3 linked regions of the Coturnix japonica genome follow. The protein of the gene in region 3 purifies or fractionates together with the protein of the main gene of each other region. This does not show direct contact. Links are inferred from orthologs where the notes say so. Each region holds a gene or a part of one and is shown on either strand. Other genes may lie near its edges.

What was found.
Region 1: the proteins of TFDP1 (region 3) and E2F3 purify together in Homo sapiens (affinity purification with mass spectrometry; 3 studies listed by BioGRID and IntAct, with this or other methods). This does not show direct contact. The link is inferred for Coturnix japonica from reciprocal best matches to the Homo sapiens genes TFDP1 and E2F3.
Region 2: the proteins of TFDP1 (region 3) and L3MBTL2 purify together in Homo sapiens (affinity purification with mass spectrometry; 4 studies listed by BioGRID and IntAct, counting the BioPlex papers as one, with this or other methods). This does not show direct contact. The link is inferred for Coturnix japonica from reciprocal best matches to the Homo sapiens genes TFDP1 and L3MBTL2.

What each region holds. Positions count from the first base shown.
Region 1 is NC_029517.1:69,387,734-69,390,992, reverse strand, and holds the end of E2F3 (transcription factor E2F3), read right to left. Parts: intron 2,953-3,259; coding exon 2,687-2,952; 3' UTR 575-2,686; downstream 1-574.
Region 2 is NC_029516.1:45,392,418-45,396,838, reverse strand, and holds the start of L3MBTL2 (lethal(3)malignant brain tumor-like protein 2), read left to right. Parts: upstream 1-1,508; 5' UTR 1,509-1,591; coding exon 1,592-1,639; intron 1,640-2,753; coding exon 2,754-3,060; intron 3,061-3,240; coding exon 3,241-3,374; intron 3,375-3,696; coding exon 3,697-3,820; intron 3,821-4,130; coding exon 4,131-4,210; intron 4,211-4,421. UniProt on the Homo sapiens protein: Putative Polycomb group (PcG) protein. PcG proteins maintain the transcriptionally repressive state of genes, probably via a modification of chromatin, rendering it heritably changed in its expressibility.
Region 3 is NC_029516.1:123,726,404-123,730,677, reverse strand, and holds the start of TFDP1 (transcription factor Dp-1), read left to right. Parts: upstream 1-1,396; 5' UTR 1,397-1,512; intron 1,513-1,878; exon of another isoform or gene 1,879-2,006; intron 2,007-2,418; 5' UTR 2,419-2,491; coding exon 2,492-2,503; intron 2,504-4,274. UniProt on the Homo sapiens protein: Can stimulate E2F-dependent transcription.

The sequences.
Region 1 (3,259 bases), on a different chromosome or scaffold from region 3:
TTTAACTCTTTATCAATGATGATGTATCCAGAAAGGTGCAGCACCAGGACCAGAAAGGGGAAACAAGTTTGTAAATGTGCACCTGGGTGTATGAGAGTGTTGGAGGTGACTCATAAGTAAATAGAACTCCTTCCCTTTTTTTTTTTTTTTTCCCCAAAGCTACAATTAAGAGACTTCTGGAAAATTAGCAGGAGGAAAGCTAACATCCTCAACCATTTCTTTCATGCTATTTAATCCTAGAATAACCAGGCTTTTATGAAATGTCCAAGATGTATCCGATAATTTAGGGGGAGGAAATCAATGAGAGTAAACCTATGGTTTTCCAGTTTCTGGATCTCCTACTATGTGTGTCTGGCATCTTTTTTTTTCTTGTTTCACACTGGTTTAAAAAATAATAATAATAATAACTTAAAGCCATAACTTGTTAGTATAATGAAAAAGAAATAGAATTGAAACATAGCTATGCAAAATAAGTATGAGAAGCACTAATAAATAACAACACAACCAGCTAGTTTCCACTCATAAGCATGATAGGCACCAGAAATGGTTTTAAAAAGCAGTAGACAAATCTAAACTCTTTAAAAAATCCTTTTTATTGATTCATTACCATACAAAATTTATTCAAATTACACCCATCTGAAGTGGTAAGATCACAGCTAGAGAACAGGTCATCCTTTAATAAATCTATTTACAAAACTTGCCATAAAAGCTTTTTTTTGTTGTTGTATTTTTTCCTTTTTTTTTTTTTTTTTACAGTATTTTACAGAATTTTTTTAAAACTAGCATACAATGCAAAGCTAAATTAGATTAGTATTTAGCCCACGCACATTGGGACAGGTGTTTAATTTGTACATAAAGAGATGGTCTGCATTAGTCTTCATTTTCTCTCCCCCCTTCAAAAGTGCCCCTTTGTCTCACAAATCTTCATGCTCACACAACTTTTACTTTCCTCTTCCACAAGACGGAAACTTTAAATTACTACAATTTTATTTACAGATCCACATCTAAAACAAACAAACAAAAAAAACCCAAAACAACAACAAAAAAAAAACCAAAAAAAAAAAACCACCCAAACTCTTAAAAAATTACAAACCAGCTAAAAAATATTCTGGCAGTGTTTACAAGTTAAATCTATTATACAAAACTGCTTGATAACTAAAGTGTGAGTGGAAACATATATCAACTTAAATACAACTGCTGAATGATCTATGCACACATTTGTACATATAAACACACACTTAACACTGTTTAACAGTTCTTTACGTGTTGCCCTTTATACATTTGTTATATTCCAAAACTCACACAGTCATATAGTTTTCTTTTTAGTACTGTGGCTTCTTGCCTTTTCATGTGTGAGCTTTCATAGCAGCAACTCAATGGTACCAGAATACCTGCGTACATAATATTCTACTACAGTACAAATAGTACTAATTCTCTGAATATGTCAGATAAGCACAACAATAATGCAAACAAAAGGATTACACGGGCATCATCTAATCAACATTAATTTAGCCCAGAACGTGGCAACGTACTTTACACTCAAAAAAAAAAAAAAAAGAAAAAAGAAAAAAAAAAGTAAGACTTCTTAGAATTCCTCTCACTTTCAGAAAAATAAATATTGGTATTATCCTATTCTACCAAAGATCTTCAAAAAAATAAATGCAATTCAGTTGATGTGGTACTTACAATTATGTACTTTGGGAAAGAAAAAAAAAAAAAAGAAAAAAAATAGTTCCATTTTGCTGGAGAAGAGAATTATAAAAAGCTGGAAGCAGAGGAAGCAAACCCACTGAGATAAATATGATATATTGAACAAAGCTTGGCATAAGTGTTTTCCATAGAGGGGAAAACCCACAGTGCATCTCTAGTAGGCACTTAACGCAAAGCCCCACTTAGTACCACAAAAAAATTATGTACCAGTTCTAATGCACACACTGGGGGCAGTGAAATCGAACTGTGCATCTTCGTTCTAGTTTAAAAAACAACAACCAACCAACACAAACTACTTTCACACACACATACACACACACACACAAGCAGTATTAAAAATCTGTGATTACTACGAGAAGTGGCAGAACTTCATACTTTTCAATATCCGCGATATACACTACATTTACAGTGTATTTTCTTTATTAAAAGCTTTTAAGGACGTAAGTATTTGACCTCATAATGAGACATTATATGCAGCTCAAAACGAGCGTTATGACAGCAATTTAAACATTCCCACAAGTAGCTGAAGAAGCTCAATTCGCACTTCTGCATTACTTCATATTTATGCTTACTGCAGTTACAATCCATGTTGTGACACTCAGAAGACATGCATTCTCTGCAGAAGGCACGACCTGAAATACTATTATAAAATTGTTCTTAGCGACTAAGCCAGTTCATTGAGCCCTTCTCCATTAACCCCACTTGTCATGGAAAGCAGAGACTGGGGGAGTGTGAATACAGAACTTCCATGGTCACCTGCTTGCCCTTGCTGACTCGCAAGGCACTGGAGCTTAGGGTCAAGGAGAAGACCTTTTCGTAGTATTCTAGGGAGAATTTCATTAAAATATCAGCAGCGTTCAAGAGCCTAGTTTATTCGATAATGCTTTTTTATGGTAAGCAGGGGACAACAGAATGAATGGACATGTTCCAATTCCATTAAAAAACACAGATTAGATACGCACTTCATTTAAGAGAATCAGCTGTATATAAATTCATCCACCAACGAAGGAAGTTTCTCTAAATCATAAGCATCAAAGAGATCACTGATGCCTTCTTCATCCCCGAGGCTCAGCAAATAATCTTCCTGAAGCAGAGGAGGCAGCAAATTCACAAATGGTCCTTCAAAGTTTGAGGGAATTTGGTCCTCGGTCTGCTGTAGTAGGTTGGCTGGAGAAGCCAATGGAGAGATTGTTGCCATATTTACTGAGCAGTCACCTTGTCCTGAGTTAACGGAAGCCACTTCTGGAGAAGGGGAGAAAAAATAAAGATGATACACTGAATGCCATGAGAACTATTAGACCTGGATAACATAAAGTAACAACTGCATATAAGCCCATCATAAAACATCATTTAAGCAAAAAAAATTCCTCGAGATCAGATAATTTGTAGCCTATTTTTGACATCTTAACAAAGGGCTTCTCAGAAAAAATCTCAGGTTTCTATCAGCACTGATTTTTTTCCAGTTAAAAAACAAAATAAAAAATCCAAGATCTCAACAACTACTGAATAAGATGCATGAAGGATGACTTTCTTTGTTAGAGGAGCTCAC
Region 2 (4,421 bases), about 78 Mb from region 3:
AAACTGTGTGAGACAGACGGCCTGTTCTTAATGATTCTCCCTGCGCTCCCACACATGTTGCTTGCTGAGAAGCCAGTGGGGTGGCAGGAGATGTGCCACGTCCGATGGTCGCCTTGTAGGAGTTGGAGAGTTTATTTAATGTATATGACTGCTTTTAAAATGCAAATCTACGCTAAGGGGATGCGGAGTGACCCGTTAGTCTTATAAATGGATGCTTTTTTGGTACGGCCCTGCATTTGTGTTTGTTCATGGCAATGTATTTTACCAAAGAAACGAGGTCTGACCTCATCAGCTGACCTGCACCCGGCCAGTCTGGGAGCAGCTGATGTTCAGAAGACCTATTTTGCATTTTGAAATGAGAACTATTGTTTGGATATGTGATATTAAAAGATCCTATTTCACTTGGAATACATTGTTCAGCTTTTGGCACCAAAGTGTGAGCCTGAGAGAGAACCTGGTGTGGATATTCTGTAGATGCTGTGCTGCAGTAGCTGATGGGTGCCCCATTAATGCTGTTGCACCCACTTATGGGCTGCTTGAGGTCACTTAGCATGGAAAGGCTGAAGTGCTCTTGATCTCACCTGACAGCAGTGCGTGCAGGCGGCTGCCTCTTAATTCAAGCACATTCCCCTATTTGGGGGATGTCCTGTACAGAAATGCTTCAACTAGGGAGCGTGTGTGTAGCAAAGCCAGTTGTGTGTGCCAGCTGTAACTGCATGCACGTGCTGTTGAACCTGGTGTGTCGTTCACTGCCTGCGAGCCATATGTGCAGAGTAGGCAGGGAGGGCTTCCCAGAGCACAGCTTTACCCCATGGGTGTGTGGGGAGTAACTTGTACCTGTGTTTTGTGCACCTGAAGATCTGGCTGTGGCCAGAGCACAGCACAGGCGTTGGGATTGTCCCTGTGTCCACCAAGCCCAGGTAATGACACGAGCAAGCTGCCTTCAGGAAAAGATGGATGGAAGATGATGGAGTGAGGAGCCTGTCTGCACGGGAATCTCAGTCAAGTGCCAAACAAAAGCCATGGTCTATTGCAAAGTGGACAGATGTTCGTGGCTGTATGAAATTTGGAATAAAAAGCTTGATATTCAGATACAAGTACGATGATTGGTCTAACACAGGAGCATAAGCTGTGAATAGAAAGGTGTATTTGATGGCAAGATGTCAGCCTGTCTTCATAAGGGAGGTGCTCCAGCCTTCTGACCATCTTTGTGCCCTCCTCTGGACCCCCTCCAGCAGCTCCCTGTCTTTCTTGTACTGGGGGCTCCATACCATGATGCAGTACTTAGATGGGGCCTCGCAAGAGCAGAGCAGAGAGGGACAACCACCTCCCTGTCCCTGCTGGCCACCCCTCTCTGATGGAGCCCGGGACGCCGTAAGGTCCCTGTAAGGCCGCCATCATGCTCTGGGCCACGCCCCGCCCCCTTCTAGCGGAAATAGAACTACGCCTCCCGTCGTGCCCCGCGGGGAGTGAGGCGGGAACAAGCTCTTCTCCGATTGGCTCATTTTCTTCCGTCTGTGGCCAATCGGGTGCGCGGCTGCGGGGGAGGTAGTGCTCCACGCGCGTGAGGCGGGCAAGCGTCCTGGGAGCCATGGAGCAGGAGCAACAGCAGCAACAGCAGCAACAGCAGCAAGGGGAGGTGAGCGGCGGCGGGGCCGGGGCGGTACCGCACTGCGAGAGGCCTCCTGCTGCCACAGCCGCGCAGTGCTCTGCAAAGCCCCGCAGCGTGGGCTGGGGGGGGCTGGGCCGCCCTGTGCTCCACGGGAGACGCGCGGCCCGGGCTGTGGCGGCCGTTTAACGGCTGCGGGGGGGCGGTTCGCCTCCCTGTGTGGAGCCCGATGTGGCGTCAGTGGGGTGTTGGGGGAGGGAGTGACGGAGGGGGCGCCGCCGGGGGGGGATGCATCGCAGCTTTCGGGCTCTTTTGGTTCCGGAGCAGCGATCCCGAGTTATTCGCTTCCTGCGAGCTGAAGGAAGGAGCGTCCGCAGAAAGGGCTGCGAAGGAGGTGGATTTGCTGCTGGTCCGTCATCACAATTCGTTATAAATTCAACTCTGGAGAAAGCTGGTCCAGCTGATGTTTAGTCTGTATTAGTTTTGTGAGCTTTGGTGGCCGGAGCCTGTAGCTCGGTACGCTGTGGAAAGCTCGCTGTGGCTTTGACGGCTTGAGGAGAGCCACTAAGATGATCCGAGGGTTGGGCACCTCTCCTGTGAGGAAAGGTTGAGGGAACTGGGCTTGTTTAGCTTGGAGAAGAGAAGGCTCCAGGGAGACCTCATTGCAGCCTTCCAGTATTTGAAAGGAGCACATAAATAAGAGGGAGAACAACTGTTTGAGTCTGGACAGTGATAGGACAAAGAGGAATGGTTTTAAACTGAAACAGGGTTAGAGATGAGGAGGTAGGTTTTCACACAGAGGGAGGTGACACACTGGAACAGGTTGCCCAAGGAGGCTGTGGATGCCCCATCCCTGGAGGCATTCAAGGCCAGGCTGGATGTGGCTCTGGGCAGCCTGGTCTGGTGACTGGCGGCCCTGCATATAGCAGGGGGGTTGAAACTGGATGATCTTTGAGGTCCTTTTCAACCCAGGCCATTCTATGCTTCTGTGATTCTTTAGATTTCTGAATCTGGGATTGTTGCGTGGATTTCTTGCACAGTCCAAGGCTTCTCTTGGGTCTAGACGTCCTCTCAGCAGTGAAGACAAGCTAGTAAACATTTGGCATAAGGTGTTTGTTTTAAAGCAGACTGGTTGTTTTGTCAGGCAGCGTCTTCCATTTGCAACAAAACTTCATCTTTGGAGAAGGCGGAGGTGGAAGGTGAGGAGGAGGAGGAGGAAGAAGAGGAGGATGATGACTTGGACATGTTTGGAGGCTATGACAGCTTCCGGAGCTACAACAGCAGCATGGGCAGTGACAGCAGCTCCTGCCTGGAAGAGTCTAGTGATGATGAGGTGGCAGATCGGGAAGTCAGAGGTCTTCCACTCTCCCCTGTGCACCAGCCACCCACAAGCCGGATCACAGAAGACAGCGGCTCTGAGCCAGGTAGTGCCCGTTCTCCTGTGTATGATGGTAAGAATGAGAGCTGGAGGAAACCAAAGCATGCTCTGGGAGCAGAACTGAACTGATAATGCATGTTCTGTAATACATGGAGGAGCTGCTATGTGTAGTGGGGATTTCCTGGGCTTAGATCTGTCACTTATAAAGCACTGGTCCTGCTGACTGCTTGTATCTTTGTGCTTTTCCACTCAGCTGTGTGCGAGATGTGTGGGATTGTGGGAACCAGGGAGGCTTTTTTCTCCAAGACCAAACGTTTCTGCAGTGTATCATGCTCTAGAAGCTATTCATCCAACTCCAAGAAGGCCAGCATTCTGGCCAGACTGCAGGTGAGTCAAAATCCCTCCTTCCCCAGGGGTGGAGTAGAAAGCCCATGTAGAGGGATGGATTTTTGCTGTCTTGTGAGGTCTCAGACTGCTATTACCAGTGGTTTATTTCTGCTTGAAGCCCCCAGAGAAAAGCATACCAACTGTGCAGTGCTGTTTTCTAGAAGCTGGGGAAGGGCATAGTTATATTTTATTTGTTGTATCTTCTGGTTCCTGAGAGCACTAATAGTAATCTGTAAATCATCCCTGGAGAGATGTGTGCCTCCTCCTGTCCAGTTGCAAGCTTCTCTCCCTTCCTATTCCACTAATATTCCTTCTTTTGTAGGGGAAGCCACCAACAAAGAAAGCTAAAGTCCTGCACAAGGCAGCCTGGTCTGCCAAGATCGGGGCCTTCCTCCATTCACAGGGCACGGGGCAGCTCGCAGATGGGACTCTGACAGGCCAGGACGGTGAGTGTAGGCTAGTCATGAGGAGGTATATCTTTAGAAGGGGTAACTGTAAGACTAATAGCCCCATGCTTCACTCTGATTTCTCTGAGATGCTGTGGCCCCAGAGATACCCCCCCAGCTCCATTTCTCAAGAGCAAGTTGACACCATTTGTGGGATCTAGTTCCTCTTCAGGGAAAAGGCACTCAAATACAGAGTCCATGCTCTCTGGGACAGAGTGCTTTGCCCTTGTTGTAGCCCGGAGGTAACTGAGTACTGTGTGCCTTTTAGATAAACCTCTTTGCCTTACTTTCTTCTCTTGTCTGCTCCTAGCACTAGTCCTGGGCTTTGACTGGGGAAAGTACCTGCAGGAACATGGCTTCAAGGCAGCTCCAGTCAGCTGCTTCAAACACGTGAGTTCTTTGCTGTGCCTCACAACATGTGTGGTACACTTTGCATGCACTGGACTCTCCTGTGCTGAGTGGAGAGAGGCCTGGGGAGAGGGTTCTTGAGCACTGCTTGTGAGGGAGGGAGCTGGGGTTTCTTACAGCTAAGAATGCCTCTTAGTTCCATGGAAACTACAAAAGATACAATGAGCTCAAGAACACTATTTGATAGTGCAAA
Region 3 (4,274 bases):
TGAAGGAAACAACAGGCAGAAGATAAAGATACAGGCCTACCAGCTTCACGGAGCAGGAAGCGTGTTTCTTTGGATCTCCCACAGACTCCATTGAGTAATTACTACTGCCAGTGGGGAGAGGCTTCTTGATGGTAGGGACGGTGAGCCACCAAGAGAGACTAAGAAATCCCAATTTCTGCAGATAAAGGACAAACTGGACAATCAAGTGACCGGAGTGCCTATGGACAGCTGATCCTGCCTTGGGGGATACAACCTACATCAGGGAATGGCAAAACTCTTAGGGTTACAGTGGCAAGCTGTATTTTTATTTCTTAAAATAGAGCAGAAATTTGAGAATTGGGAGATAGTTCCACCCAAGGAGGCCAAATGCTGACAAGCTTATCAGCTGGTATGAGGGCTGTATTTAAGGAGCTCTCACAGGTCCCTCTCTTAAGATGGCTTGGCTTCAATTTCCAACAATCAGAATGGGTCCCTGTGCACGTTCTCTGGCAGGTTTCTGATTGCAGGTTAGTTAAAACACGTTCTCCTCATATCTGTGTCCGCTGTGGAGTCGCAGCAAACTGACGTTTGGAGTTGTAATCTGTTCTCATTCTGAAACGTGCTCAATTCTTGTTTGCAGAGAAGCTGCTGCTACCATGTCCCACAAGGAAGGAAGGATGGGGAGATGGGGCCATGGCGGCTATCAGTGCAGGGCAATGCGTGGCCGTGGTACCCACAGCAATGAGTGGGGCAGACACAGAGGAGGAAGTTTTTCACACAGAGGGTTGTGACGCACTGGAACAGGTGGTTGTGGATGCCCCATCCCTGGAGGGCTGGCTGGATGTGGCTCTGGGCAGCCTGGTCTGGTGGTTGGTGACCCTGCACATAGCAGGGGGGTTGAAACCAGATGATCATTGTGGTCCTTTTCAACCCAGGCCATTCTATGGCTCTATGATTCTACCATCCAGTCCAACTATGAGCCCATGCCTGCTGACCACATCTCTCAGTGCCACATCCACACAGCTCCTCAACACCGCGTACCCCGGTGGCGCAGTGGTAGGAATGCCGCGTTGCAACACCAAAGGCGCTGGGTTCGAATCCCCCTGTGGCGCAAGTGGTAGAAGTGCCGCTCTGCTACACAGAGACTCGAATCCCGGGGGTTCGACTCGATGATCTCTAAGGTCCCTTCCAACCCGCACCAGACTGTGATACTGTGATGATGATGACACCTCCAGGGACGATGCCTCCATGGCTGCCGTGCTCCCCAGCTGTGCCCATCCCCACCCGCCATGTGCCGGTCACCGCACTGATGGCCGCACACCACGTGCCCGCCCGAACATCAACCTGGCGCCGCCGCTTCCCGCCGCCAGCGTTGCAGGGCGGGGAGTCGGAAAGCGCGAAAATCCCGCGCATGCTCCCTCCGCCCCCGCCGTGCCGGCCGGTTGGCTGCTGCGCTCCGCGTGTGCCCGTGCAAGGCACGCTACACCCCGTGACGTCAGCGCGCAGCGTCACGCCGGTGGGACGCACAAAAGTGTAAGTTTCAATTTTTTTTTTTCGGGCTCCCCCTCATTCCCCGGTTCACCGGCGCTGTCCCCCCCCCCAAATCCCCACGGGGAATAGAACGAAAGGGAAGAGAGAGAAAGCGGACGGTGGGATCGCGGGCAGGGACAGCCGCTTTAGTTCACCCCCCCCCCCCCCCCCCTTTCCCCGCTGCCGCCCCCCGTGCAGGTGTGCTCTGGCCGCACGGTGACAGCCCGCACGCCGCCCCCCCACACCCCGCCGTGCCGGCACGGAGCGCGTCCAGCCGCCCCCCCCCATATATACACACACATTGCGGCCGTTGGGCGCCCGCTCCCTCCCTCCGCCCCTGCCCCCTCCCGCCGGGCTCGCGGGCCCGCGCGCGCCGCCCGCCCGCCGCACATGTGCAGTCGGGCGCCTCCGCAGCGGCAGCTCGGCGCCGGGACACGGGCTGGGGGGACAGCGGCGGCGGGGGATGGAGCCGGCGATCTCCGCATTGGGCCGCTCAGGTGCGAGCGGCTGCGGCCCCAGGATACGGAGGGAAGGATGGGAGGCGCCCGCGGAGCCGCCATCGGCGTGGCCACCCGCCGCTGAGCGGAGGCCCCGGCGGCTGCGGTCTCCGGCTGCGGGCGGGAAGGGAGGGGGGCGGCCCAGAGGCCTGCGTGTGCCCGCCGACGGGATGGGGCCCGCCCGAGCGTGCCGTGCAACCCCCACCACAAGCCGTGAGGGTGGGCGGCGGGGCGTCGCTCCCACGTGCTGGCTGTGAGCGGGGGCGTCGCTTCGATAGAACGGGGCATGGGGGGGAACTTTGCGCTCTCCCATAGGGTTCTGTTCTGAAGCACAACGGGAATCGGGGCGGTGCAAAGTTTGCCTCGTCTCATTGTGGAGAGCTGACTGATGGTGGTTGTGTTTGCTTTCTAGAGAATAGCATCGTCGTCCCAGCGTCCCGCAGGCAGCAGGATTGTAAGAGGATTGCCTGCTAGGCTGGGGTAACATGGCAAAAGATGTAAGTATATTTATAGCGCATCACATGCAGGGGCATAGCTAATAGCATATTTTTGCTTTTGTTTTTGCTAACGGAAGCAAAGCAGGTCAGGCTCTGGTATAGCTGGCAGTGCAAACGTGTGAACCTGACTGTGCTGTACCCCAGGCCTGGGCTGTGCTTCACTATATGGATGGTCCGACCCCAAACCAGCTTCAGGTCTGCAGCAGGTTCCTCAAAGTAGCCCTTGGAATCTACTGTCGTCATAAAAGCTCTCTGGTCATTGGCATTAGATGTGTTCACATTGAACACCACCCCAGGTTGGCTTTGACGTGGGTTCAGAAAGCCCTAGAATACACCGTTCAGATGCTGGGGTGGTTGGTGGCTCTGTCCTGTTATCTCCAGAAGTCACCAGCTGAGTGTCACTGCTGGCTGGTGCTGCCTCTGCTGCTTGGTGTGTTCGGGGTAGCAAAGCCTCCTTATCTCCTCACTCTTTCTTCCCTGTCCATTCAAAGATGCTGATTACTGCTTGTAAAAGCAAGCATTGGGAGCTTGCAGCATACACTTCCACTGCCATCCTTGCCATGACTGGTGGCCTTGAGGCAGGCCTCAGAAACACCTTTGCTCTTATCCATTCCAGTATTCTTTTAAGAACCATTTGAACAGGTTCCGCCTTTCAGATCTATTTCATTGCTTGTAGCTAATGTAATTGGACTGCCACGGTTCTATATTGAGAAGGAGAGAATGGAGAGCTCTGTATTCAAACTTGAATGCATCTCCCCCCCACCCCCCCCAAAAAGGACAACAAAATAGCAAACAAGTCACAAAGCAATTCCAGTTCTAAACAGCAGGTTACGTTATTGTGTGAACTGTTGTAGCTTTCGGAGAGTGAGAATTACTGTGAAATAGTGATTGGTTTAACAAATTAATCTTGTAGGGAATTTTAGGAGTTCAGAAGCATATGGAAAGTATCTCGGTGTGCAGAAACGCAACCAGAAATACGTAGTCACTGCACGCTCGCCTGTAAAAGATAAGGGCGTTCAAGTGCGCTACAGATAGCAGAGTTCAGGGAATGAAGGGCTGTACGAGCAGGGAAAAAAATGGAAGAGGAGGGGTGGAAGAGGAGGTGAAATAAGCGGCAGCTCAGAGTAATTCATATGTTAGGATACATCCATTTCGTACTGCCATTTGGAAGGAGATGGGCTGAGTGAAGGACTGGCACCTGGAAGTTAGATCGGTGTCGTATAATGTGTGTGGGGACATAATGGGGGTAAGGCATCTAAGAAAGAACCTAATTGGAGAGATCCATTTTGCTGTAGGAGGGGAGTAGTTAAGGGAGGAATAACATGCGCAACAACAAACTTCAGAAATGGAAGAAGATGCTACAGGTGGGAACGAATAGGTGTTTTCAGTGTCTTCTAAGAGCAGATCAAGAAGTAATAAACTGAATTTGGAGGAGCAGTAATCCGGCTCAGGTTGTAGGTGACATGTTAAGCATGCTTGAACACTGGGACAGGGTAGGGAGAAAGTGTATGAGGTCTTAACTGAAGAACTGTGTAACCCGTTTTCAGAAGCCTTTGCATATATGTAAAATCCTGTTTGAGGGAAGAAAGATGAACCGCATTAATGGCCCGCGGTTCTGCTGTGTCACCTATCGAGCGCTCTAACGGTCTGCAAGATGTGGTGAATAACATGGCATAGTTGATGAATGCCCCCACCCCTTCCTTCCCTTTTTCATTTCCAGCAGGGCTGAAGTGGCACAACTGTGGTGAGGGCGGTTTGTGCCGCTCTCCCC